Pelodiscus sinensis: one gene and its partners. The protein of the gene in region 1 interacts with the protein of each later gene in a biochemical or structural test. Links are inferred from orthologs where the notes say so. Each region holds a gene or a part of one and is shown in the gene's direction. Other genes may lie near its edges. The genes, in order: TJP2, CGN and OCLN.

Region 1 (8,037 bases):
CTACAGCGGTCCAACAGAAGACTCTTGGGTAAAGAGGATTTCCAGTGCAGGACTACAGTCGTAGAAAATCTTACATATATATGTTAGAATATGAGCAACCCTATTCTAGTGCTAATCTAAGAGCAGGTTCTGCTAATGGCCACTTCCTAGGCACAGCTAATAATTGAGAAGACTCAAGAAGTAGAAGGTAAAAAGCAAAATAACCCAAACATGCAATAGAGAAAACTGTCTAAATAAAATGGCTATCTCAATTGAAAGTGTTTACATAACATAATGGCACTTAATTGATATGAGCTAATTGATTATGTTCCAAATTTGGATATGGAAGGTGGATTCTTTACAAGAGCTTAGTGTTGGCTTAACACTTGGTCTCTCTGATATCAATGGAAGTTTTACTATTGGCTCAGTTAGGTTAATGGAGAACACTTTTCAGAATTCCTTTAAAATCCTACCTATGCCTAGAATTCAGTGTTTTCCTTCTTTTGTTACATGCCTGATCACTAGAACCCTGCATAGATACAAAACTTATATCCATGTCCACACCCACATCTGCCCAAATGAGCTGCCAATATCCGCCTCCACATCCGCGAATGCAGATGCCTGCCGATTTTCAGGGCTCTCCATCACCTGTGCTGACTATACTCCAGTGGGTAGGTATTTTAGTAAATAAAGGCTTTCAGTAAATTGGGGGAGTGGTAGACAGCTATAAGAACCAGGGTTTAATCTCAAGGTACAACATAATTCAGAAAGCAAAAAGCAAATTGTGTCTTGATGCATCATATTGGAAGATCTTTGGACAGAGGTTCTGTTGTCTTACATGTTTTGTACAGTGAGGGCCCTGATCCCAAGCTGGGAGTTTTGTGTGCTGCCCTGACATGAATGTAAAAGTGTGTGCCAGAGAGACTGATGCACCTTCATTTGTCCCTCTGCACTAAGGCTGCAATACATTGACTCAGTTGATGAGTATCATTACAAGAGCATAGGTGCTAAAGCACCTCTTTTTGCTTCCTCACTTCACTTGTCTTGTGGCATTATACTCTCAGACAAATGCACTGAATTAAAAAAGGATGAAAATAGAAGGTAAAGAAAAGTCCCAATTTAGCTCCACAAGTTGTTTCACAAAATGAGAAAATCCTGCCCTGAAGAGTTTATAGTCTAAATAACTGAGAAGACTGACAAGTGAAGAGACACACAGTAGGGCTGTGCAAATAACTTTTGGTTTTTTACTTACTGGCTGAACCAAAAACATTTAAAAGATCAATTTTAAGTTTACCCTCATCAAAAATTTCAGGTTTTGGTTGTTAAAAAAAAAAAAAGCTATTTAAGTTCACAGTTCTCTGATTGAAATGTTTAGATTTGAAATAACCTTGCATTTTTTTACTTATTTTGAGTGAACGAAACATTTAGTTTCAAAGGATTTTTTAAACCTTTTAAAAAGAACACTGAAGTAAAAAAAAGGCAAAGTTTTTCCAAATCTAAACATTTCAATCAGAAAATGGTGAACTTAAATAGCTTCAGAATTTTTTCCTTTGTGTTTGATGGGACAAAAGGCAATACATGGAGGGGTGTGCTTTTTCAAAACAATAAAGCAAATTTTACATACATTTACAATTTTTTTGTTAAATCTGATTGTTTAAAAATAATTAAGCTGAAAAATTTGACCTTGCTCTAATAAGCAGGAGTAGGGCAGAGAGACTAATGCCATGGAATAAAGAGAGAAAATTGGATTGTTAGTTCAGTTTAGGCATATGTTTGGGTTAATAGCTCAGTTTTGTGGGTCTGAAAATAGTTTGTAGGCGTGTGTTGCAGAAATGAGTTCTTGGGAATAATGTAGATGGTTAAAGCAGTTTTTGGAAGAGCATTCAAAATATGAGTCAGCATGGGAAGAACAGAGAAAGTTGTGTGAAAAAAGTCAAAGGCACTTGGAAGTGGGTGAGGCAAAAGGGGACATGAAAGAAAAGATCAGTTGCAGATGGAAGGTGCTCTATGTGGTCTTTGCAAGTGAGGACAAGACATTTTAAATTGGCTGCACACAGCTGTTTGGAGCTGTTGTGATCTATCCTGTGAATGCTTCATAAAGAATAGGAGTGACTTGTATGCTGCTATTGAGGGGTTTTTTTGAACCGTAGTAAGACCAGGAAAGGACTTTATTTATTTGCACCCTTTCCAGGGTTTTGTCTGGAAGATAGAATCAGCTAATATCTAGAGAAAGAAAACAAATGTTTACAACAAGCTCCTCAGAGCAAGGCAGCTAACCTCTCCAAGTTGCTGAATTATTTTATCAATTTGTATTTGGGTAATTGTGTAGCACTAAGAAATCAATATGGTACAATGGATGATTTTGTACATGTTAATTCACTGATTTTTACACTGTTCCTGCTACTAATTAATATTTTCTGTTATGTTTGTCTTATTCTATATACAATTTTAAGAATAACATGTATCCTTGCATACCGCTCTTCATCTTCAAAACACTTAAAAACATTAGCTAATCCTTATGAGACTCCTATGGAAGATAAACATAATTTTCTATCTGCAATATATGGACTATATATGGAGTTTACTTTTATTAAGGAAAAAGGAATTGACACCAAAAAACACGTGAAACAAATAATGCAAATGGTCAGACAAACTCAGAAAAGCAAGGACATTCAGAGACTCCAATCTCCACGTCTGGTCTCATTTTGCTTTAGAACTGCAGTTGATTATCTCCTGCAGTAGCTGAAGGAAAAATAATTACTTAATTAACCCTGAACATCAATTATGTATATTAACCCTTATTTGTTTGGGGGCTTTTGGGGAGTAGATAGTTCAATAATGTCACTTACATTTCTGTTAATGATTAACAACACTTGGAAGCAGGGCCTTTAAAAATATTGTAATGGGGGAATATATCTTAATAGAAGCAGGCTCTTTCTGCTGTGTTTAGTTTTCAAGTCAAAGATTTAATTAAAAGCATGGTCTCTTATTCCTTCTGTTCAATGCATGGCATATTATGCCATAGTCAATCAAAAAGCAATTCTGTGAACCCATGCTCCTGGGCATTCTGAGAATTTCTAAACTTGAGCCACTGCTGTAAAATGATCCTGCCCACACTTGGCAACTGCCCTGCAAATTGTCAGAAGCCTGTACAGGGTAAAGTCCAACAGCTACAATACACTGTTATAAAGCTGTTGTGGGGAGTAAACTGTTTGATTTGGGAGAAATTTGCTTAGAGGGATACTATGAAGCAAACTAGCCAACAAAAGGCGATTTTTGTTGCTCCTTTATGATGTGTAAATATTACTTCTTAAATAAACCCTCATTTTTCACATTAAGACGGTCAGGACTTGGCACTCTCTTTTCAGATCAATGACTTCAGCAAAGACTGGAAAGCTGAAATATCTGGAAGTACATCTCGAAGCATAGGCTGATTAGGGAAGTTTAGGTTTCAGAATCGTGTCTGGAAGAACTGGAGGGTTCAATTACATTTTTTAGCCTGCAACTTGAGTTGCTATCAGAAGTTTCAGCTGTGAGGTGTGATATCACCAACCAGATAATCCAAAGATTTCTCAAACCCACCAGGAAAACAGAATAATGTTAAGAACAATTAGGAAAGAGAGAGAGAGAGAGCAATCCATATGCAATCCTCTAAATAAATCCATGATATGCCCACATCTTGTAATTCTGGTCTCTCCATCTCAAAAAGATAGACAGAATTGGAAAAGGTATAGAGAAGAGCAACAAAAAGGGGTATGGAACAACATCCATATGAGGAAAGATTAAAAAGATGGGCTTTTCAGCATGGAAAAGAAAAAAAACTAAGAGGGAATAGGATAGAGATCTATTCAGATCATGAATGGTAAGGAGAAAGTGAATAAAGAAGTGCTATTTAGTCCTTCATGTTACAAGAACCAGGACTCACCCAATGATATTAATAGGCAACAGGTATAAAACAAACACTAGGAAGTACTTCTTCACATAAAGGCACAGTCAACTTGTGGAACTCTCTTTGTGAAAGTAAAAATCATAACAGGTCAAAAAAGAACTAGACATTCCTGGAGGATTATAGATCCCTGAATGGCAATTAGCCAGGATGGGCATGGATGCAACTCCATGCTCTAAGTGTCCCTAGCCTCTCTTTGTCAGAAGCTAGTAATATTTCACTTCACGAGTGTCTTTTCTGTTCATTCATTCTGTAACACTTGGATTTGGCCACTGTCAGAAGACTGGTTAGCTGTCAAATGGTCTTACCTAGACTGTTTCAATACTTGTTCTGTGACTAAACAGAGGCCACAGCTGTCAAATCAGCAGTGCTTTTCAAGATTAGTGTGATTTGTAGAGGTCCCAGTTAAGATCAATCCTCAACCCAAGGAGATTTCAATCTAAATAGAATGGGAGGGGAAACGTAGAGGTGAAGTGACCTGCCAAAGGTCACATAGGAAGACAGTAGCAGAGACTAGACTAGCTCTCAGCTCAGCTTGAATCCCAGGCTTGCCCTATTCTGTGAATCACACGGTCTCTTCGCTCAGACATTTCCTAACAACAAATTACGTTGTTAAGCCAAGCGGTCAAAGATTAGGGAAGAGAGGGCTGTTTTTCCTGATTTTTTTTCCTTTCTAAATTAATATAATAGTGATTTTGAATTTAATGTCGATTTTTTTTGGGGGGGGGGCTCACCAGTTTTTTGTTCACTTACGAGACAAAGCGGTCGGCGAGAGGGTGAGTTTCAGGTCAAAACAGGGGCTGATGTAATGGCTCAGAAGATCCCACCTAGTGACTAAACCCCGAGTCTAGTAGCTTTCCTCCTCGCACCTATTGTACCAGGGCTTTGAACCGGTATTTCCTGTTCCACCCTCTCCAGCCAGAGCCAGTCGTGGGGGTGGCTGGAGAGGGCGAGAAGCTGCCAGTAAATGGGAGAGGAGGCTGGGGTAAGTCGGCGGAGCGGAGCTGCTCAGGCGGCTGTGGGTGTGCGCGGGCGGGGGGGATGTAGAACCAGCTGGCCCCCCAGCGTGTGGACAGAGTTTAGCGCGGAACCAGGACCTCAGGCAGCGCTTCCGTGCATGGCAGCTCCCAGCTCCACCTCCCTCCCCGCCCGCTGGGGAACAAGCGAGGGCTGGGCCGGGGAGCGGAGAGGCAGGTGCTCCGAAGGGCTCGGCCCGCTCCGACCCCGCTCACCTGCCTTGCTGGAGGTCTGATCAGGTCCCCCCCTCTCCATTTGCCTCCCACAGGAAATAGCCTGACTCAAAGAGACCCCGCATCTCCTGTCCCCCAGGCGTCCCGGGCTGCTCCCTCCACCAGCCAGGGGGGCGCTCAGCTCCACACGGCGCGGGCTGCTGCCGCCGGACGCCTTGCCAGCCCCGCTCCAGGTATGTCGGCGCAGCCTCGCGGCTCCCCCTTCTCTGCGGAACTGCTGCTTCCGAACCAGCCCAGCTGATTTGGAATGTCGCGGGGTGGTGGGGGGCGAGCCCCACTTCGCCACGTGCAGGCCAGGCGCTTGGCGGGGACTCTTCCAGCTTAGCTGGTGCGGGGAAGGAATTGTCCCCTGGCTCGGGTGTATTGCCCCGTGCAGTGGAGCTGAACAAAAACCCCCTTCCCCAGCCATCAGGGAAGTTCCGCTCCGCAGCCCGGCTTCCCAGCTGGCTCTGTATTGGAAATAAACTTTGGGTAAATCTCTGCTCCGGATCGGCAAGCTGCGGCTCACCCTCCGCCCCTTCCCTCTCCTGCTTTCTCCTCGCCCTTTTGCGCCTGTGCGTGCCTTGGCTGAAAGAAGCCTGAATTGGGTGTGCGTGGCTGGCTGCACATTGTTCTCGGGTTGTTTGGCTTCATGTTCGCTCGGAGGCAAGCCTCAGCAGGCTGCCAGCCCCTGAGGGAGGGAGGGACTCTTGTTCCTGCTTCACACTACCAGCCTCTCCTCTAGGGAGCGGGAATACCCAGAATCTCATTTACAGATGATCTTTTCTGTAACAGGATTATGGGCCTCTGTTTCAATTCCCACGTTAAGTACTTTGAGGGAGTCCATGATAGTAGGTGGGTAGAAGAGCTGTCACTGAGGAATCAGGCTTTCTTTAGTTTTTCTTTCTTGGAGTGTGGGTGGGAGCGAGGGAGAGAAAACGTACACCAGAATAGTGACTCAGAGTGTCTTTGCAATACAGAAAATTTCCAAGATCTTTATGTTGGCACGTCCTCACTGAATGCCAGCCATACTTCTGGATGAGGGGACATTTCAGGATATCAAAGTATTTTAAAACAAGATTTGGCAATTCAGGGGTTCAGAAATACCTTTACAGCTGTTTTGTTTCTTCAGTCAGACCTATTAACTCCTCCTCTTTCTTACTAGGTTAAACTATATGCTAACTTTAAAACACAAACCAGATATTACACAGTACCAATTACTAATAACAGTAGTCCAAATTAAACAGCTGAAGTTTGAGAAGATTTAAAATCTGAGATTGTGTAAACAGCATAGGAATTGACACAGGAAATGAGGGCTAACATAGCTTTTGAAACCGCTAAACCCCAAGGTTTTGTCCCACTACAAAGCCACCACAAGTCTGGTTTGATGTGACAAGGACCTCATAGAAGTTAACTAGAATGTACAAGGCACAGCACTAATACAATGAAATTTAATTTTAATAATGATCACTTAGGGTTAGAGAGACAAGGTGGCTTTTATGGAACCAACTTCTGTTGAGAGAGACAAACTCTTGAGTTCAGGACAAGGCTACACATCAAAATTGTCAACCTAAATTATGTTGACTGTGTTATGCAGTAACTGAATAGCTTTTTTTACATAACCATGCTCAGCTCTTTGCATTGGTGGTCCACATTCTCACTGGGCATGTTTGCACCAACAATAATTGCCAGTGTAAGGACATTGTGGGATAGTGTCTGAAAGAAAGCAAAAGTTGATGTAAGCTACACAGTGTCTACATTGACACTTCATTGACCTAATTATATAAACTTAAGTTCTGTGCCTCTCATGAAGATGGGGTATTTAAGGGCTTCTCTACACTACAAATTGTAATTTAAGTTAATTCAGCATACAGCCAACATAGTAATTACAAGTAGTGGTTCTTGTTCACACTTGCCCCTTTTGTCAGTGGCACACATTCTTAGCAGCAGCACTTCCACAAATGGGACTCACACCTGTCCCCCCTCCCAACTGTCAGGCAGGTGCTGGCTCACAGCTAGGGTCCTCTCAGCCCCATGTGGGGCTCACAGATGGATTCTCCCAGTTCTGGGGATGACTGTAAAAATACAGTTTTTTTTTTTTTTTTTAAAGCAGAACAACCCATTCTAACCAACAGCTGGAGACAGAAGGTGAAATAATAGCATCTATGAAAATGACAAGAATGTCAGTTTCACCGGTGAAACAAAAGACAGGACTATGCAGCACTTTAAATACTAACAAGATGGTTTATTAGATGATGAGCTTTCGTGGGCCAGACCCACTTCCTCAGATCAATTTGTGGAAGAAAATTGACATGACCATATATACCAAAGTGATACAGTCAAAAAAAAAAGTGAACAAATAAAATTGACAAATCAGATTTTAGAACGGAGAGGGGATGTGGGGGGGAGGTTAGTGTCTATGAGGTAATGATATTAGGGGTGATAATTCCTAATTATCATTCATAGTTCCTGCTGTGAGACTCCCTGTTGTGAAACTTAACCTTGCAACACCCTCTCAGCTGGGGCTATCAGCCTGGGAGTGATTGGGGGGTGGGGCAGGAGGAGTGCCCTAGCCCAGACAGTTAGCAAGCTCTGTAGTAGTGTATAGATCAAGCCTTATCAGTGGAATGGGTGAGTCAGGTAGGTGGGAGCTACATTTTAGTGTAGGCGCTTATAGAGACAGGATGATGTAAGGTAGTTACATAACTTGGTAGAGTAGACAAAGTGACCTGAAGAACAGCTCTGTGTAACTTATGTTAGTCATTCAGCTGTAGATCAAAAATAAATGTTCAAAAGCCATTTCTAATCGGCATTGATTTGTTGCTTATTAGTGCTCACGGTTATTCAGTGTTGGGCATGACACAAAAATAATAACCATGCATT
Region 2 (7,990 bases), on another chromosome or scaffold:
ATTCGTGAGAATAAATGACTCAACATTTGTATAAGAGCTGACTAAAATGCCTTGCGCTCTACTGACACAAAGCATTATATGACAGTTGGGGATTATCATTACACTATTAGTGATATTGTAAGTGAATGTGTGCAAAGCACTTGGGAAGCTTGAGATGTACGGTATTATTTTTTACCTTAAATAATGCTGGGCAGGTGTCTCAGCAATTTGGTGGGAGAATGGTCAACAAAGTGGGCAGCGAACACTGCAGTAGAGTCCTTGATGCTGCTTTGACATATGCAGCATGGCCAAATGTCTAAGCATCATGAATCAGGCCATACAAACAAAAATCACAACATTAGCTTTAAAATAAGGAGATCTTTTAAAGTTACATACTTTTTTTAACAATTTGCTTTCTTTTTTTGAGCATTTAGGGACACACTCAGATCACATTTCCAAGCTTTTGCATGTAAGCTTCAGGGTTAGAAATTAGCCTTTGGTGTTTTTTGTTTTAATTAAAGTAAAGAGTCTCTCTTAATTGCATGTTGCCAGGAACTGGGGCTTTCAGTGTGACTTGTGATGAAAAAAAAATCACAAGAGTTTGAAACACTGCACATAGGTACACACGCAAACTAAAAAACAACCTTTCTGGTCAATACGTGACGTGTTGGATCTATCTTAGGCCAAGTCTACACTAGCACTTAGGTCAGCAAAACGTTTGTAGCTCAGGGATGTGAAAAAAACCACTCCCTGAGCAACATTAAGTTTTGCCGGCACAAGTGCTCATGTGCACAGTTCATTGACCTGGTTGTATTATATTGACTGGAGAGCTCTCTCCTGTCTGCATAACAGGGCTACACAAGGGACCTCACAGTGAAACAGCTGTATCAGTTCAGTGGTGCTCGCTGCTGTAAGTTTGTGAATATTTATATGGCCTTAGATTCATAGGTTTTATCTACGCTGCATACTTACTTCCATATAACTACATTGCCCAGGAGTATTACAAAAAAACCCACACATCTGAGCAACATAGTTATATCGACCTTAACCCCCATGTAGACAAGTGTAACATTGGCGGGGCAGTTTCTCTTGTCAACATAGAAACTGCCTCTCATGGAGGTGGAGTTATTACACTGATGAGAGAGCTCTTCCCTGTTGGCTTAAAGTGTCTTCATCAGAAACTGCAGCTGCACAGCTGTAAATTTTTAGTGTAGACTTGCCCATAGATTTTAAGGCCAGAAAGGCTATTCTAACTCATCTGACCTCCTGTATAACATAGGCGAGAATCTTTCACCATTATCCTAATCTTCCATACTTATATCTTACATACATACAGTACTTACACCATGTGAGTCCTGGCAGGGAGAAAAGAGAAACAAGTGGGAGGGAATGAAGGAAAGAATGATTTAAGAGAACAGACATGACCCATGGCCTAAACATTTCCTTCCATCCTTATGTGAGGGATTGTGCCACCTACTCAGGTAAAAAGGAGCGCGAACTGCATTTCAGGGGTGCTTGCTGTGCAAATAAAGTCATGAAGCTTGTGGAGCTGAAGGGCAGTAGATCAAGCTAAGAAATCAGAGGATTTATTTAGCCCAGTTGACTTCAGGAACAGTGATAAAGCAGAGGGTGTGTGGGAGGGAAGGGGCATTATATTTTGCATAGCACCAACAGTGCCTCGGGCACCTTTGGAGATAGAGAAAGCTGTCCATAAAGAGCTCACACAAGCTGTGGAGACACTGGAGAGAGGTGGGCATCAGGAGAAAGAGAGACAGGAAGGGAAAGAGAGAGGGGGCAAGAGATGGAGATGTGGGAAGAGATGCGGAGACACCTAGGGCCTGTGCTTAAAATGTTGGGGGTGGAGTGGGTAGAAAGGACATTGGAGAGGGGGCACTAGGAGAGCTGCTCTTCCTCCCAGCCTATCTGGGAGACACAGTGGGGAGAGGAGGTGGAGGGAGTAGTTCAGGGAAGTGAGAGGAATCTTCCCATCCCCAAGAACAGAAGAGATACAGGGGAAAACTGGCCAGGCTTCTGTAGGGAATGCTCCCTTGCACTCTCTCCCTCCCCCCCCCCCAGGTGGGAGAGAGATGAAAGGAAGTCCCTTGACCTAGCTTTGAAGTGGAGGAAGCCATACAGCAATATGGGGAACTGCCCTGCCTAGGCCTATGAGGTGGAGGGCACTAGGGGGCAAATCGGAGGCTGCATTGGGGAGGGCAGAGGAGCTGTCCAGGCCAGAAGAGGGATCAGGTGCAAACAGGCGGGCAGGCCGGGGGCAATGGGGAAGGGAACAGAGGGGGGATGGGAAAGCCAGACTGCAGACTGACTAGGAGGGGGTGGGGAGAGCGAGCAGGGGGGCTGCCCAGGCCAGGGGACTGGTGTGGGAGCGGCTCAGCCCAGAGGAGCACAAGGGGTGGAAGACATGGAGGGGGGGCACATAGGGTGGGAGGAGCTACCCAGGAAGGGGGGGGCACATGGGATGGGAGGGGCTACCCAGGAAGGGGGGGCACATGGGATGGGAGGGGCTATCCAGGAAGGGGGGGCACATGGGATGGGAGGGGCTACCCAGGAAGGGGGGGGCACATGGGATGGGAGGGGCTACCCAGGAAGGGGGGGCACATGGGAATGCAGGGGCAAGATTAGAAAGGCAAAGGCACAAAATGAGATCAAACTAGCTACAGGCATAAAGGGAAACAAGAAGACCTTTTATAAATACATTAAAAGCAAGAGGAAGACCAAGGACAGGGTAGGCCCACTGCTTAGCGAGGAGGGAGAAGCAGTAACAGGGAACTTGGAAATGGCGGAGATGCTCAATGACTTCTTTGTTTCGGTCTTCACCGAGAAGTCTGGAGGTGTGCCTAACGTAGTGAATACAAGCAGAGAGAGGGTAAGTTTAGAAGATAGGATACACAAAGAACAAGTTAAAAATCACTTAGGAAAGTTAGATGTCAGCAAGTCACCAGGTCCTGATGAAATGCATCCCAGGATACTCAAGGAGCTGATAGAGGAGGTATCTGAGCCTTTAGCTATGATCTTTGAAAAATCATGGCAGACAGGGGAGATTCCAGAAGACTGGAAAAGGGCAAATATTGTGCCCATCTATAAAAAGGGGAATAAGAACAACCCAGGAAATTATAGACCGGTCAGTTTAACGTCTGTCCCAGGGAAGATAATGGAGCAGGTAATTAAGGAAATCGTATGCAAACACTTGGAAAGTAATAAAGTGATAGGGAATAGCCAGCATGGGTTTGTGAAGAACAAGTCATGCCAAACTAATCTGATAGCTTTCTTTGATAAGATAACGAGCCTTGTGGATAAGGGAGAAGCGGTGGATGTCATATACCTAGACTTTAGTAAGGCATTTGATACGGTCTCGCATGATATTCTTATTGATAAACTAGGCAAATATAACTTAGATAGGGCCACGATAAGGTGGGTGCATAATTGGCTGGATAACCGTAGTCAGAGAGTTGTTGTTAACGGTTCTAAATCCTGCTGGAAAGGGATAACAAGTGGAGTTCCTCAAGGGTCTGTTTTGGGACCCGTACTGTTCAATATCTTCATCAATGATGTAGATATTGGGATAGAGAGTACTCTTATTAAGTTTGCAGATGATACCAAACTGGGTGGGGTTGCGACTTCTTTGGAGGATAGGGACATAATTCAAAATGACCTTAGCAAGTTAGAGAAATGGTCAGAGGTAAACAGGATGAGGTTTAATAAAGAGAAATGCAAAGTGCTCCACTTAGGAAGGAACAATCAGTTCCATACATACAAGATGGGAAGCGACTGTCTAGGAAGGAGCATGGCGGAAAGGGATCTAGGGGTCATAGTGGACCACAAGTTGAATATGAGTCAACAGTGTGATGCTGTTGCAAAAAAAGCAAATATGATTCTAGGTTGTATCAACAGGTGTGTTGTAAGCAAAACTCGTGAAGTCATTCTGCCGCTCTATTCTGCACTAGTTAGGCCTCAGCTGGAGTACTGTGTCCAGTTCTGGGCGCCACATTTCAAGAAAGATGTGGAGAAATTGGAAAGGGTACAGAGAAGAGCGACAAGAATGATTAAAGGTCTAGAGAACATGACCTATGAAGCCAGGCTTCATGAACTGGGCTTGTTTAGTTTGGAAAAAAGAAGATTAAGGGGGGACATGATAGCGGTTTTCAAATATCTAAAAGGGTGTCACAAGGAGGAAGGAGAAAATTTGTTCCTCTTGGTTTCTGAGGACAGGACAAGGAGTAATGGGCTTAAAGTGCAGCAGGGGAGGTTTAGATTGGACATTAGGAAAAAATTCCTAACTGTCAGGGTGGTCAAATATTGGAATAAATTGCCAAGGGAGGTGGTGGAATCTCCCTCTCTGGAGATATTTAAGAACAGGTTAGATAGACATCTGTCAGGGATGGTGTAGACGGAGCGTGGTCCTGCCTTGAGGGCGGGGGGCTGGACTCGATGACCTCTCGAGGTCCCTTCCAGGCCTATTATTCTATGATTCTATGGGGTGGGAGGGGCTAGGTAGGAAGGGGGGGCACTGGCTTGGGAGAAGCCGGGGGGGGGGGGGGGGGGCGCTCTAGGAGGCGGGGCTTGCTGCGAACAGCTCCTCCGAACCCCTCGCTCGCCAAGATGGCGGCGCGCCCCTCCCGCTCAGAGCAGTCAGCTGATCTCTCCTGCCCAGCCCCGCCCATTGGGCTGGCTGCGGGCCAACGGGGGCGGGGCGGCGCGCGGGCGGGGCGCGGCTTTCTCGCGGCGGGAGTGGGGGGGGGGGGGGGACGGACGGGGCGTGTCTGTCCGGAGCCCAGGCCAATGGCCGGGGCCGGGGGCGGGGCCTGGGCGAAGGTAACAGGTTGCGGTGAGGGCGCGGAGGTGAGGAGCGCTCGCGGCGGGGAGCGGCTTGGGCGCGGTGAGTGCGGGGACCCCCTGCCCCATGGGGCGCTGCCTTCCTCCCTCAGCCGCGGCAGCTCCTATAGGGGCTTGGCTCCCGGGACCTGCCCCGCTTCTATAGGGGCTCTGGATTCCCCCGGAGCTCTGGCTCCTATAGGGGCTCTGCTCGCGGGACGGGCTCTGCCCCCTATAGGGGCGCCGCCTTCCTGCATCGTTGTGGCTCCTATAGGGGCTCGGTGTCACCTAACCCTCCCCGTAGCCTGCGTGCTCCCATAGTTATGGCTCCTATAGGAACTCTGCCCCCTGGAACTTGCCCTGTCCCTTTAGGTTGCTGCCTTCCCCCATAGCTATGGTTCCTGGGGAGGCCCCCAGAATGGGAAAGCCCCTGTATCCCCCGGGAACCTGCTGGGTTCCTATAGTGACACTGTGTCTATATAGGGATTCTCTTTGGAGATGTGCCCTCCCCTATAGAGAGCCTTCCTCTGTAGTAGTTCTCCATATAAGGACTCTTCCCCTGGAGAGCCATGTTCCCTCTATAATGACTTCCCCTATAAGAAGCTCTGTCCTATAGGGTCAGTTGCTTCTTCCCCTGGTGGTTCACCCATTTCCCCTTGACCTATATGTATTTACTTCCCTCCTCTAAAACACTCCCCCCCCCCCCCCTTCCTCTGCCCCATAAAGCACTCCCTTCTTCAGGCATGTTCTCCCTCATTCCTAGTTCCTCCAGGGCTCCTGCTGCTCCTATAGGACCCCTCTTGGTGTGTCCCTGTTCTAGTGACTCTCTTATGAAGAAACACCACTCCTTCCTCTTCCCAAACCCCAGCTTCATCCTATTATTTCTAGAGAAGCAGTGTCATGTGCTGAGGTTTTTTTCCCCCTGCCCAGAATGGGTTTAGGTGAGGAGGACAATTGGGGGGAAGGGGAGGTGTCTGGAGTCCTTTATCCCTAGACCCCCCTCCCTGCTCAAATCTAACCCAAGCTGGATTTGACTGAAAGTCATTTTAATTCAGTAGCCTGTGTGTGATGGACTTTGGGTCTGCTTCCTAGAGGTCAGGTGCTTAGCAAAGTTGTAATCCTGGATGGCCATAACAGGCCTTAGCAGAAAGGCTGCATGAGACATGGAGACTGAACATGAGGACCCCTATGAGGGGCTTTCTGCTGGTGAGGCCCATCGGCAGGGATTGCAGCTGAAACCTCTGCTACTTCCATGCAGCCTGGTCCTGACTGGTGGTTCAGTGGGTTTCCAGGTCTTTCATGATGAAAGATGAGAGGAGGAATACATCATCATAACCTGAAATGAACATAGCCCCATGCCCTGTAGAAAACCTCAAACACAGCCACTGGTAACTAGTTAGATAATTTCCAGCCTTATTGTTTGTAGTATAGATCTCCAGGCTGTGAGGAGCAAATGGTCTGTGGGGTTGTTTGTAGTCCTGTGTGTATTTTTCTCATGCTTGACTATGATCTCCTGTGACACTGACATGGACACTGTTTCTAAAGGGATATAGTAAGAACACAGAAGAATCCTTTCCTGTGTCGCTGATCACATTTAAAATGATTAAAAAGCCCAAACGGGTCTTAAAATTGCAGGTGCAGCTTGCTAGTTCAGGCCTTCCCCTTTACCCTCCTTACCTTTGCAAGCTGATCGAAACTAGAGCAATCATTGAAACTCACTACTCAGTTTCGCTCTCTGGTTCCCAGGCATTAAAAACAATACTCCTGTTTCTGAGTGCCCCTCACCAGTGTCTTGTGGTGGGGGTGTCACTCCAAACAAACAGTTTTCAATGAAGATGAAGGCATGAGATTAGGCTTTGTAAAAACTGGTGTGTAAACAAACCCATAATGTTTCAGCCTGATATCCCTTGTATTTCTGTGTTTATGGCAGTTGCTATGTAAAGCAAATGGGAATGTCTGTTTCAGATGTTCTAAGGGAGGGTGATGGTAATTAATTATGAGTTGGCAATGAACTTTTTGCATTAGTTATTATATTGTATGGCTACGTCTACACTGGCATGATTTTCCGAAAATGCTTTTAACGGGAAAGTTTTCTGTTAAAAGCATTTTCGGAAAAATCGCGTCTAGATTGGCAGGATGCTTTTCTGCAAAAGCACTTTTTGCGGAAAAGCATCCGTGGCCAATCTAGACGCGGTTTTCCGCAAAAAAGCCCCGATCGCCATTTTTGCAATTGGGGCTTTTTTGCGGAAAACAGTACTATGCTGTCTACACTGGCCCTTTTGCGCAAAAGTCTTTCGGAAAAAGACTTTTGCCCGAACGGGAGCAGCATAGTATTTCCGGAAAAGCACCGATGATTTTACATGAGGTCGTCAGTGCTTTTCCAGAAATTCAAGCGGCCAGTGTAGACAGCTAGCAAGTTTTTCCGCAAAATCATATGATTTTGCGGAAAAACTTGCCAGTCTAGACACAGTTTATATGTTTAAGTGCTTAGTGGCTCATTTCTCACAAAGTGAATGTCCCTCCAATATGGGTTCCCAAACTGGGGGTGTGTGCCCCTCGGGGGTGTGAAGAAATTCCAGGGGGGGCGCTAGGCGACCCAGCTCCACACTCCTGTCAATCCCACCCCAAGTTTTGCTGCTATTTTGGGGGGGGGGAGTGTGAGGGTTTCTCAAAAATCAAAAAGGGGGCGTGATGCAGCAAAGTTTGGGAACCACTGCAAGTGAAGTGCTACTGGTCTTGATATAGAAGCTGTGTGTGACTGCATGACAAGAGAATAGATTAGACACTGAGAGGTAGCTGTGTAGGCTGTATTTCCAGAAACAACGCGAAGTCCAGTGGCACCTTAAAGACTAGCAGATGCATCTAATGAAGTGGCTTTTATCCATGAAACCTTATGGCTAAATAAATCTGTTTAGTCTTTAAGATGCCATAAGACCCCTCATTGTTTAAATGAATAGATTGTAGTTGTCTGGTTTTTATCTTTGTCTCTAAAAATGAATTAGTCGTCTTCTCTGTTCTTAGCCCCCCACACCCACAAAACCCCCCGCATCTAAACCAAAACAAACCCTGAACTGTACTAAGTGCTTGGATAATCTAAACTTGACACAATATTCTTGTCTTGTTTTATGCGAAGATTCCTGGTTAGTCTCAAAGTTGCAGAAAGGAGAAGACTTCAGGGAAG
Region 3 (7,713 bases), about 49 Mb from region 1:
AGTGTTAGACAAAAGAACATTCATTTTGAGGAAACTAATTTATAAAGTAGGGTCTGATAGTTGAATATTTTTCTGTGATCATAACTATTTCTTATCTATGAATAAAATTAGGCCTGATTATTTAGTTTTTGGCTGAACAACTAGAAGGTACACTACTGAAAAGAGAGGTGAGAAATCAAGGAAATCAAACATGCTGCTCTTGCAACTCTTTGTAAAAATGTATACTTAAGCCTTGATCCTGCAAGTAAAAGTATGTGGATGTACTCTTCTGCCACCCACAGCAGCAAATAGGGCTCTGCCTACTCCTTGTCATTTGTAGGATCATCCCTCTGATTGTATCAGAGGGCCAAGATTTTCAAAAACAGGAATTAAATCTAAGCTGCTAAATCCATATTTTTGGCCTGATTTTTCAAAAGGGCAGTGTGCTCACCAACTACAATGTTAAGGTTTACTCGCAGTGAGAGGAGAGGCCACTTTTAGTTCCTGTCTTTGTTGTTTAATTCACTTTAGAGTGTGTCCTTGTTAAATAACGCTTAGTTTTATAGTCCGTAGATCAGGGAATATAAAAATTTTTGGTAGGGGCCATGCCAAGATTTTGGTTAATGGTCAAGGTCTGCACTTTTCTGTGGAGGGTCTAGGGTGAAGGTTGGGTGCACAGGGTAAGGGACTGGGGTTCAGGAGACGGTGTGAGGGCTCAGCGGGTGTATGGGTGAAAGAGGGGGTTGTAACCTGGGTCAAGGGATTGGGGTGTAGGGTCAAGGAGGGGGTGTGGGTGCAGGATTGGATTCTGGCCTGGGGGAGAGGTGTAGGAGGAGGTACAGGGTCTGGGAGGGAGTTGTCACCTGGAACAGAGAGAGCAGAGGGTTTGGATGGTGATCTGGGGGAGGAAGTTGGGGTGCAGGATGGGTTGGGGGTGCCAGAAGTAGGCACTAGCTGAGAGGAGTTTACCTAAGTGCCTCTTGGCCTACACCCCAATCTGTTTGAAAATACAGGCTGCTCCCTCCACCTGGTTCTCATATCGGGCTGCCCCAGTCTCTCAGGCCAATCTCTCAGCTCCGATTGACTGGCTGTTTCCAGCCAATCGGAGCTGAGAGATTAGCTGAGGTCAGTTCTTATTGGCTGGTTCTTTCTGGCCAATAGGACCTGAGGATTGGGCTGGGAGTGGGGTGATCTCACAGAAGCCTCCACCTCCCTGCAGAGCAGAGAAATGCAGGGACTGTGTTTAAGTCGGCAGCTGTGTCTGCCTGAGGGTCCAGTCAGGGCCGTCTATGGGCTGCAGCCTGTGGCTTGGCAGGCCAGATCCGGCTCCCTGGGCCGTATTTTGCCCAGCCCTGTGATAGGGACATTATGCCATAGCAGATACTGTTCTTAAGACAAAACATAAAATTATTTTGATCATTGATAAATTTGTGATGATTTTCTAAGAAATCATAGCAGTTTGGATACTTACATTCTGATAGGTTATCTAAGTAACTATTCTGCCCACCTACATTCCACTTGCAATTTCAGCTGTATAGGGTATAATTAAAATCCTAGAGACAAAAGGCTCGACTTCTAGATACTGTTTATTTGTAATCCACTCCTAATGTTAGAAGTGCTATCTATATAGGAACAAAAATTCCATTCAGAGATATCTGTCCTCTAATCGCCAAGTGTACTATTTTGTTTTCTGTTTTGTCTACTTTGAATATAAGTTCACTGAAAACACTTGTCTAATCTTTCTTCTCTATGATGCTGATTATGCAATATTAATTACCAGGATATGCCTTGATCAAGTTGCTGTTGCTATATCAACATACAAACATGTGGAATAAATAATAAAGATGGGTGACTTTACAGAGCAAAGAAATCAACCCCTGACTAATTCAAGCAATTAGATTTGTCTAATCTCCAAACATTCTATTCACTTCATAAGACTAGGCTTCAAAATTAATGTCATTACTAATGTGCATTGAGTGGACATAGAAACGGATTATTTTCTAGTTCCAAGAGGCAATTTTTGTAGGTATGTGAATACAAGTAAGGCATATTGCCCATATCCTGTGTGGAAACTTATTCCTCCTTTGGTTATGCTCTTATGATAGAAAAACTGACAAATCAGATTTAGAATAGATTTTTATCACCCCTAGTATCATTATCTCATGGATACTAGTCCTCCACCTCGCTCCCCTTCTGTTCTAAATCTGATTTGTCAGTTTTATAATGTGTTCACTTTTTTTTTCATTGTATTCCTTTGGTATATATGGTCGTGCCAATTCTCTTCCAGAATTTGATCTGAGGAAGTGGGTCTGGCCCATGAAAGCTCATCACCTAATAAATCATCTTGTTAGTCTTTAAAATGCTGCATAGTCCTTTCTTTTGTTTCATTCCCTTTTTATATGAATTTTTGTAACAGTAGCAAGGGGCCTTTCTCATTTAGTTGCCTCTGGGATCAGTTAGTTCTGGGGCAGTGGTCACCAACCAGTAGATCAGGATCTACTGGTAGATCTTGGAGCCTTTGACAGGTGATCCTGACAGGTGTGGCGAGGAGGCTATCAAATGCTGTCACTTCATCTGCCCCTCTCAGCACTACCGTGCTGCTCCTGCCCTCTGCTTTGGAGCTGTGCCCCACCCCTGGGAGTTTCTTGCTTGCTGTGCAGGGAACAAGAAGAGGACGGGGTGCTGAAGTTAGGGTGTCCTTCCCCCCACTCTGTACCCCATCTCCACATAGTTGGGGGAGAGGGGAGGGCAGGGATGAAGAGAGTTTGCTGGCTGCTTTTGGGAGCAGGGGTAAGCCTGCCTTAGTCCCCTGCATCACCACCAAGAAGCCATCTGTTGTAAGCGGTGCCCAGCTGGAGCCCACATCCAAACGCCAGCCCCAGTTCTGAACCTCTCCTGCACCCCAAATCTCTACCCTAGCTCATAGTCCCCTTGCCTCCCAGAGCCTGAACCCCCCTGCTGCTCAACTACCTCAGCTCAGAATCCCTCCCACACTCCAGATCTTTTAGCTCAAGGTCAGAGTCTGTATTCCTCTATCCCGCACCCCAGCCTTCTGCCCCCAGTCTGATAAAAGTGAGTGGGGATGGGGGAGAGTGAAAGGATGGAGTGAGCAGGGGTGGGGCCATGGAAAAGGGGTGGGAAGGAGGCAGGGCAAGCATGTTTTGGTTTGGGGTAGATCCTGGATTGCACTTAAATTAAAAAAGTGATCTCATGCTTACAAAGGTTGGAGACCACTGTTCTAGGGATATCAATGTGACACTTAAATGTCCATCTCCACAGTTGATTAATCTTCAAGTACAGGACTCTCCCTGCAGGAAGTAAGTACAGCATCCAAGGAAGATGAAGCACTGTCTCCATTTAATTTTATTTTGCTTGCAATTAAAATGTATTTTAGTTTGAGCCTTGGTTACAGGGGAAAGTTATGTATATGGACACTCTTAAGTCATGTTTACAGTGTGGGTGCTAAGATGGTATAGCAAAACTGCTATTCAGTTTAACCAATACCCAAAGTGGTCTTTCTGTTGCTCTAAGGATAGTGATATTCAGACCTCAGTGGTTCAGGAGCCAAATTATAAACCTTCATTACCCAAAAGAGCCACAGTAGTGTGAATTCATTTTTGTATTTACTATAGTACTATATATAGTATAAATAAACAACAGATTAGTTAACTCAGAGCAAATTTATATTTGGTTAAAAGCATAGTAAATGTTTCCTGGTTTTTAAATTAAAATTATTAACCATAGTGTTTTAATATCTTGTGCTGCAGAGTTACAAGAAGTGAAATAAAGAGCCACTTGTGGTTTGGGAGCCTCAGTCTGAGTATCACTGGTCTAGGAACTTCACATGCCCAAATAGTCAGTGGCAAAAATCTTTCCTCAACCTCGCTGCCTTTGGAGTGGGGGTGTGACCCTCATAGCTACAGGGTAGTGCTGAGGAAAGTGAACCTTTTACACCTTTGACCACAGTCAAAGTTTATGTAGCTATTTTTTTTAGCTTTCTTACTCAGTGTTTAGCAATTAAGCTAAAAAAGTGTACTGTCTATACTAGTGGCTCCATGAATAGGTGTTGTACCTGTCTAACCCTTCTGCTTTAAATTCAATCTTTAGCTATATCTATAAAATGCCTGTTAATATATTGTGACACTATTCTTTCTATTTCCTTTAGGTGCATGCAATGGGAGAGGTGCATAGAAACAGCCCCGAGCCACTTCCAGTACTACTGCTTTAAAAGGGTGGCATTGGCTTTGCTCTCCCCGAATTTGAACCAGCCTACTTCTAGCCATCATTTTAAAAGGTGCCTTTTTTCCGGGCGCTAACCCCTCTTCCCCATTCGTGCGTTATGTCTACAGTCCAAGAGACACTTTGCAAACAATTCCAAAGGGGATTGCTGGGCTAGGAGCTGCGACCCCCCTCCCTCCAGATCTGGGGAGCGGTGCCGGGCAGCAGAGGGGGAGAGTGAGTTGAGTGTGTGCTGGCACCACTGAAGGGCGGGGAGCGACTCGCCCGCGGCTGGGAGGTTCTCGGGCACGCCCCCAGCCCGCCCTTTGTTTGCACTAGACTCTCAGAGCTGAGTCCATCCTCACTCGAAACTGGTTCTCGGCCCCCTCCGCGCGCTCGCTGCAGGATCAACCTGTTCGCTGCCTGGTGCTGGGGCTGCCGAGTTTCAGTTGAAGGGGTCACGCGCCACTGGCAGAGGGGAGGGGAGCAGCCAATCAGTGCGGCCGAAGCGGGCGGCTCCCACCCCGCATTCCAGGCGGGAGCTGCTGGGCGGGGGGGGTGAGTGCGCCTGTCCTCGAGCCCTAGGTGTGCGGGCAGGGCGCATGCACCGCGGCGGGGTGCGGCTGGTACCGGGGGGGAGGAGAGGGCTTACAGCAGCGGCTGCTTCCAGAGAGATTAAAGAGCAGGGAAGCTGGGAATCAGGCGAGCGTAAGCGGGTGCGTGCGCTGCTGGCGTTAAGGTAAATGAACTCTTGGACCGAAGCGGTTTACAAATCTCGGAACGGGACATCCAGGTGCGATGGGGGCAAGAGTAGAGTGTGTCTGGTGACTGGTGTGTTTGCTTTGTGTAGGGTCGGGGGGAGGGGTCGTCCCTTTCTCCCAACCGCATCCATGCCCAAGTGTAAGGGCTTCTGGCTTATTCTTAAAAGTTTTCCCAAATGTTTATACTTACGGCTTGTGATTGGAAATATCGAAATAAGAAAAAAAAAGCTGATACTTCTCGTCTCTAGGGTACTACTGTGCATTGCTCATTATTATAGCCAGATCATACGTAGATCTTATTTCTTTAAACGCTCAGTTGCATATTTAAACTCAGTTCTGTATTAGTTGGGCGTTGTCCCTGTGACACCAGGGATGATTCTTCAGTTACATCTTTTGTACCTTAGCCTGCCTCTTGGTTCTAGGGCTGTGCACTGTAATAAGGGTTTCGTCTCAGTTATTGTTCTCTGATGTGCAAGTTCCTCCAAAAAGAGTAAGGTAAGGAGGCAGAAATCTATTATACGATTTTAATATGTAGTTTCCACAAAAGTTGTAAATGCCAGATCGTTTCAAAGAAGTCAGTAAGTCCTTCTTGAATGGTCGGTTCAAAGATGAACCTTTTTTAACAAGTTGCTTCCTTAAGATATATTTTCTTTTTCCTCAAGAATGTCAAATCTACCAGGGCATTCAGTCTGTTATGAAAGCTTTCTTCTCAGTAGAGAGATTTTTGGTATGCACAGGAACAGGTACATTAAATTCTTCTTTGCCTCTCAAAGAAACTCTGCATTATTTTGCAGCTAATGTCTTGTGCTCTTTCCTTTTTCTCACTGTAGTATCACCTCAAGGCTGCTCTGAAACAAATTACATTTTGGTTGAAATATCTGTTTTCACCATAACTACGTTTATGAAATGTTTTGCTGATGTTTAACTGAAAGGCTCTTCTTACTCCAGCAATTAATGGAGATACCCACTTCAGGGACTGAAACCATTGTTTCAAACTATAGTTTTAAAAGGATAACTTAAAATAGAGCTCTTGGAACAATCCACAGATTGATTGACTCTAAAACCAAGAACCTCTACCTTCAAAAACATTGTACTTGCTGTCCTTTCGGGTGGAGGAGAGATAAAATTGCCACTCTCTTAAATGCATCAATAACAAGTTGCTAGTTGCTCTTTTCTTTTGCTGGACTTAATCAGTCATAGAACTGGAAGGAACCTCTAGAGGTAATCAAATCCAGAGCATTGATCTAGCATCATCTTCTAGAGCAATGGTCATCTGAAATCTTGTGCTATTTTAGGTCAATATTTTAACAAATTGGGTAAGGGCAAAACTAATGCCCCCTTCAAAAAAGAAGAAAATGGTAGGTGATCATGAAGAATTCTTGATTGGTGTTCCTACTTGAGATCTAGCTTAAGATGTTACATATTTCAAGATATTTTGGGGAAAAATCATAGTTAAGATCAACTACTGTGTTAAAGCACTGTATGATGAAGGGGAGTCTTTGTATATTTTAGGAACTGTTTGTGTACCTTGGAGTGGAAAGCTCTATTTATTGGAAGTCCTTGAAAAAATTTTTTTTTGTGGATTTGACTTTCTGTTTTTAGTAATTGAACAGCCATCTGTATAGTATAAGGCGATCATACTAACTATAATGTCAATAAGCTGTTTAGATTGTTTTGTAATTGTCACTTTTTTTTCCTAGGTACCAAAAATAAGTCTCAGTTTAGAGAACCAGTACTTCAACTATGTCATCCAGACCTTTTGAAAGTCCTCCACCTTATCGACCAGATGAATTGTAAATATTCTCTTTTCTTCTTTGGTTACTACTTTAAATAACTCCAGATAAGCAAGTGTACATAGTTGAAATTCATATCTTTAACAGCTTATTTATACAATTGTTAACAGTAACTGTGTCAACTGTCTTCAAGTTGCTGCTGTTAGCCTATATCTGGCTACGTATTTAACAAAAAAGGAAATGTCTGTCCAGCACATATAGTGTGTTCTAATAGCTTGTTTACCACTTTACAGGATGCTTTTTGTCTCTTCCATGTGTAAACTAATCAAACAACAGTTAATTAGTGATAGAAATGTAGCCGTGTTAGTCTGGGGTAGCTGAAGCAAAATGCAGAACAATGTAGCACTTTAAAGACTAACAAGATGGTTTATTAGATGAGCTTTCGTGGGCCAGACCCACAATTAATTAGTGATTGCTGCACTCAGTGTTGCAATACCTGTCTATCAACGGGGTTGAAACTCCTTAGTGCCTACATTCCTTTTAAAAATGAGATTTAGGCTCCTAAATCAGATAGGCATTATAAAGTTGAGTGCCCTTCCTTCTAAATAGCTTTACAAATGGCCCTACTGTTTGGTATGATAAATACTGCAAATTATCACTCTTAAACATTCTCTGAGTTCTCCAGAGCACACATTCCAGTAATCTTTAAATGCCAGTGGTCAGAGTGGATTAATTTCAACCCTCTAATATTATTTGTGAACAACTATCATAAAAGCGCATGAGAAAATAAAATGTCTTTTTGGAGGAATATATGCATTCCATTGAAAAATATAGGACTCTTTAAAAACTGTCTAAATCTGACCACTTCCTGAATTAATCTAACTTCATGTGTTGTGCACTACAGTTTTTTTAACAGTTTTTCACAACTGCTGAAAACTTAAGTTGATAATTTTTTCTTTTTATTGCAGCAAACCTTCTCACTATGTACCAAGCAACATTACGTATGTTGAGGACATGCGTTC

The links.
Region 2: the proteins of TJP2 (region 1) and CGN form a complex in vitro, tested with the Homo sapiens proteins (2 studies listed by BioGRID and IntAct, with this or other methods). The link is inferred for Pelodiscus sinensis from reciprocal best matches to the Homo sapiens genes TJP2 and CGN.
Region 3: the proteins of TJP2 (region 1) and OCLN form a complex in vitro, tested with the Homo sapiens proteins (3 studies listed by BioGRID). The link is inferred for Pelodiscus sinensis from reciprocal best matches to the Homo sapiens genes TJP2 and OCLN.

Annotation. Positions count from the first base shown.
Region 1 is NC_134716.1:32,194,696-32,202,732, forward strand, and holds the start of TJP2 (tight junction protein 2), read left to right. Parts: upstream 1-4,678; 5' UTR 4,679-4,701; exon of another isoform or gene 4,702-4,910; intron 4,911-4,958; exon of another isoform or gene 4,959-5,115; intron 5,116-5,210; 5' UTR 5,211-5,348; intron 5,349-8,037. UniProt on the Homo sapiens protein: Plays a role in tight junctions and adherens junctions. Acts as a positive regulator of RANKL-induced osteoclast differentiation, potentially via mediating downstream transcriptional activity.
Region 2 is NC_134734.1:15,102,302-15,110,291, reverse strand, and holds the start of CGN (cingulin), read left to right. Parts: upstream 1-4,754; 5' UTR 4,755-4,873; intron 4,874-7,990. UniProt on the Homo sapiens protein: Probably plays a role in the formation and regulation of the tight junction (TJ) paracellular permeability barrier.
Region 3 is NC_134716.1:81,590,842-81,598,554, forward strand, and holds the start of OCLN (occludin), read left to right. Parts: upstream 1-4,565; 5' UTR 4,566-4,990; intron 4,991-5,303; exon of another isoform or gene 5,304-5,453; intron 5,454-6,658; 5' UTR 6,659-6,701; coding exon 6,702-6,751; intron 6,752-7,659; coding exon 7,660-7,713. UniProt on the Homo sapiens protein: May play a role in the formation and regulation of the tight junction (TJ) paracellular permeability barrier.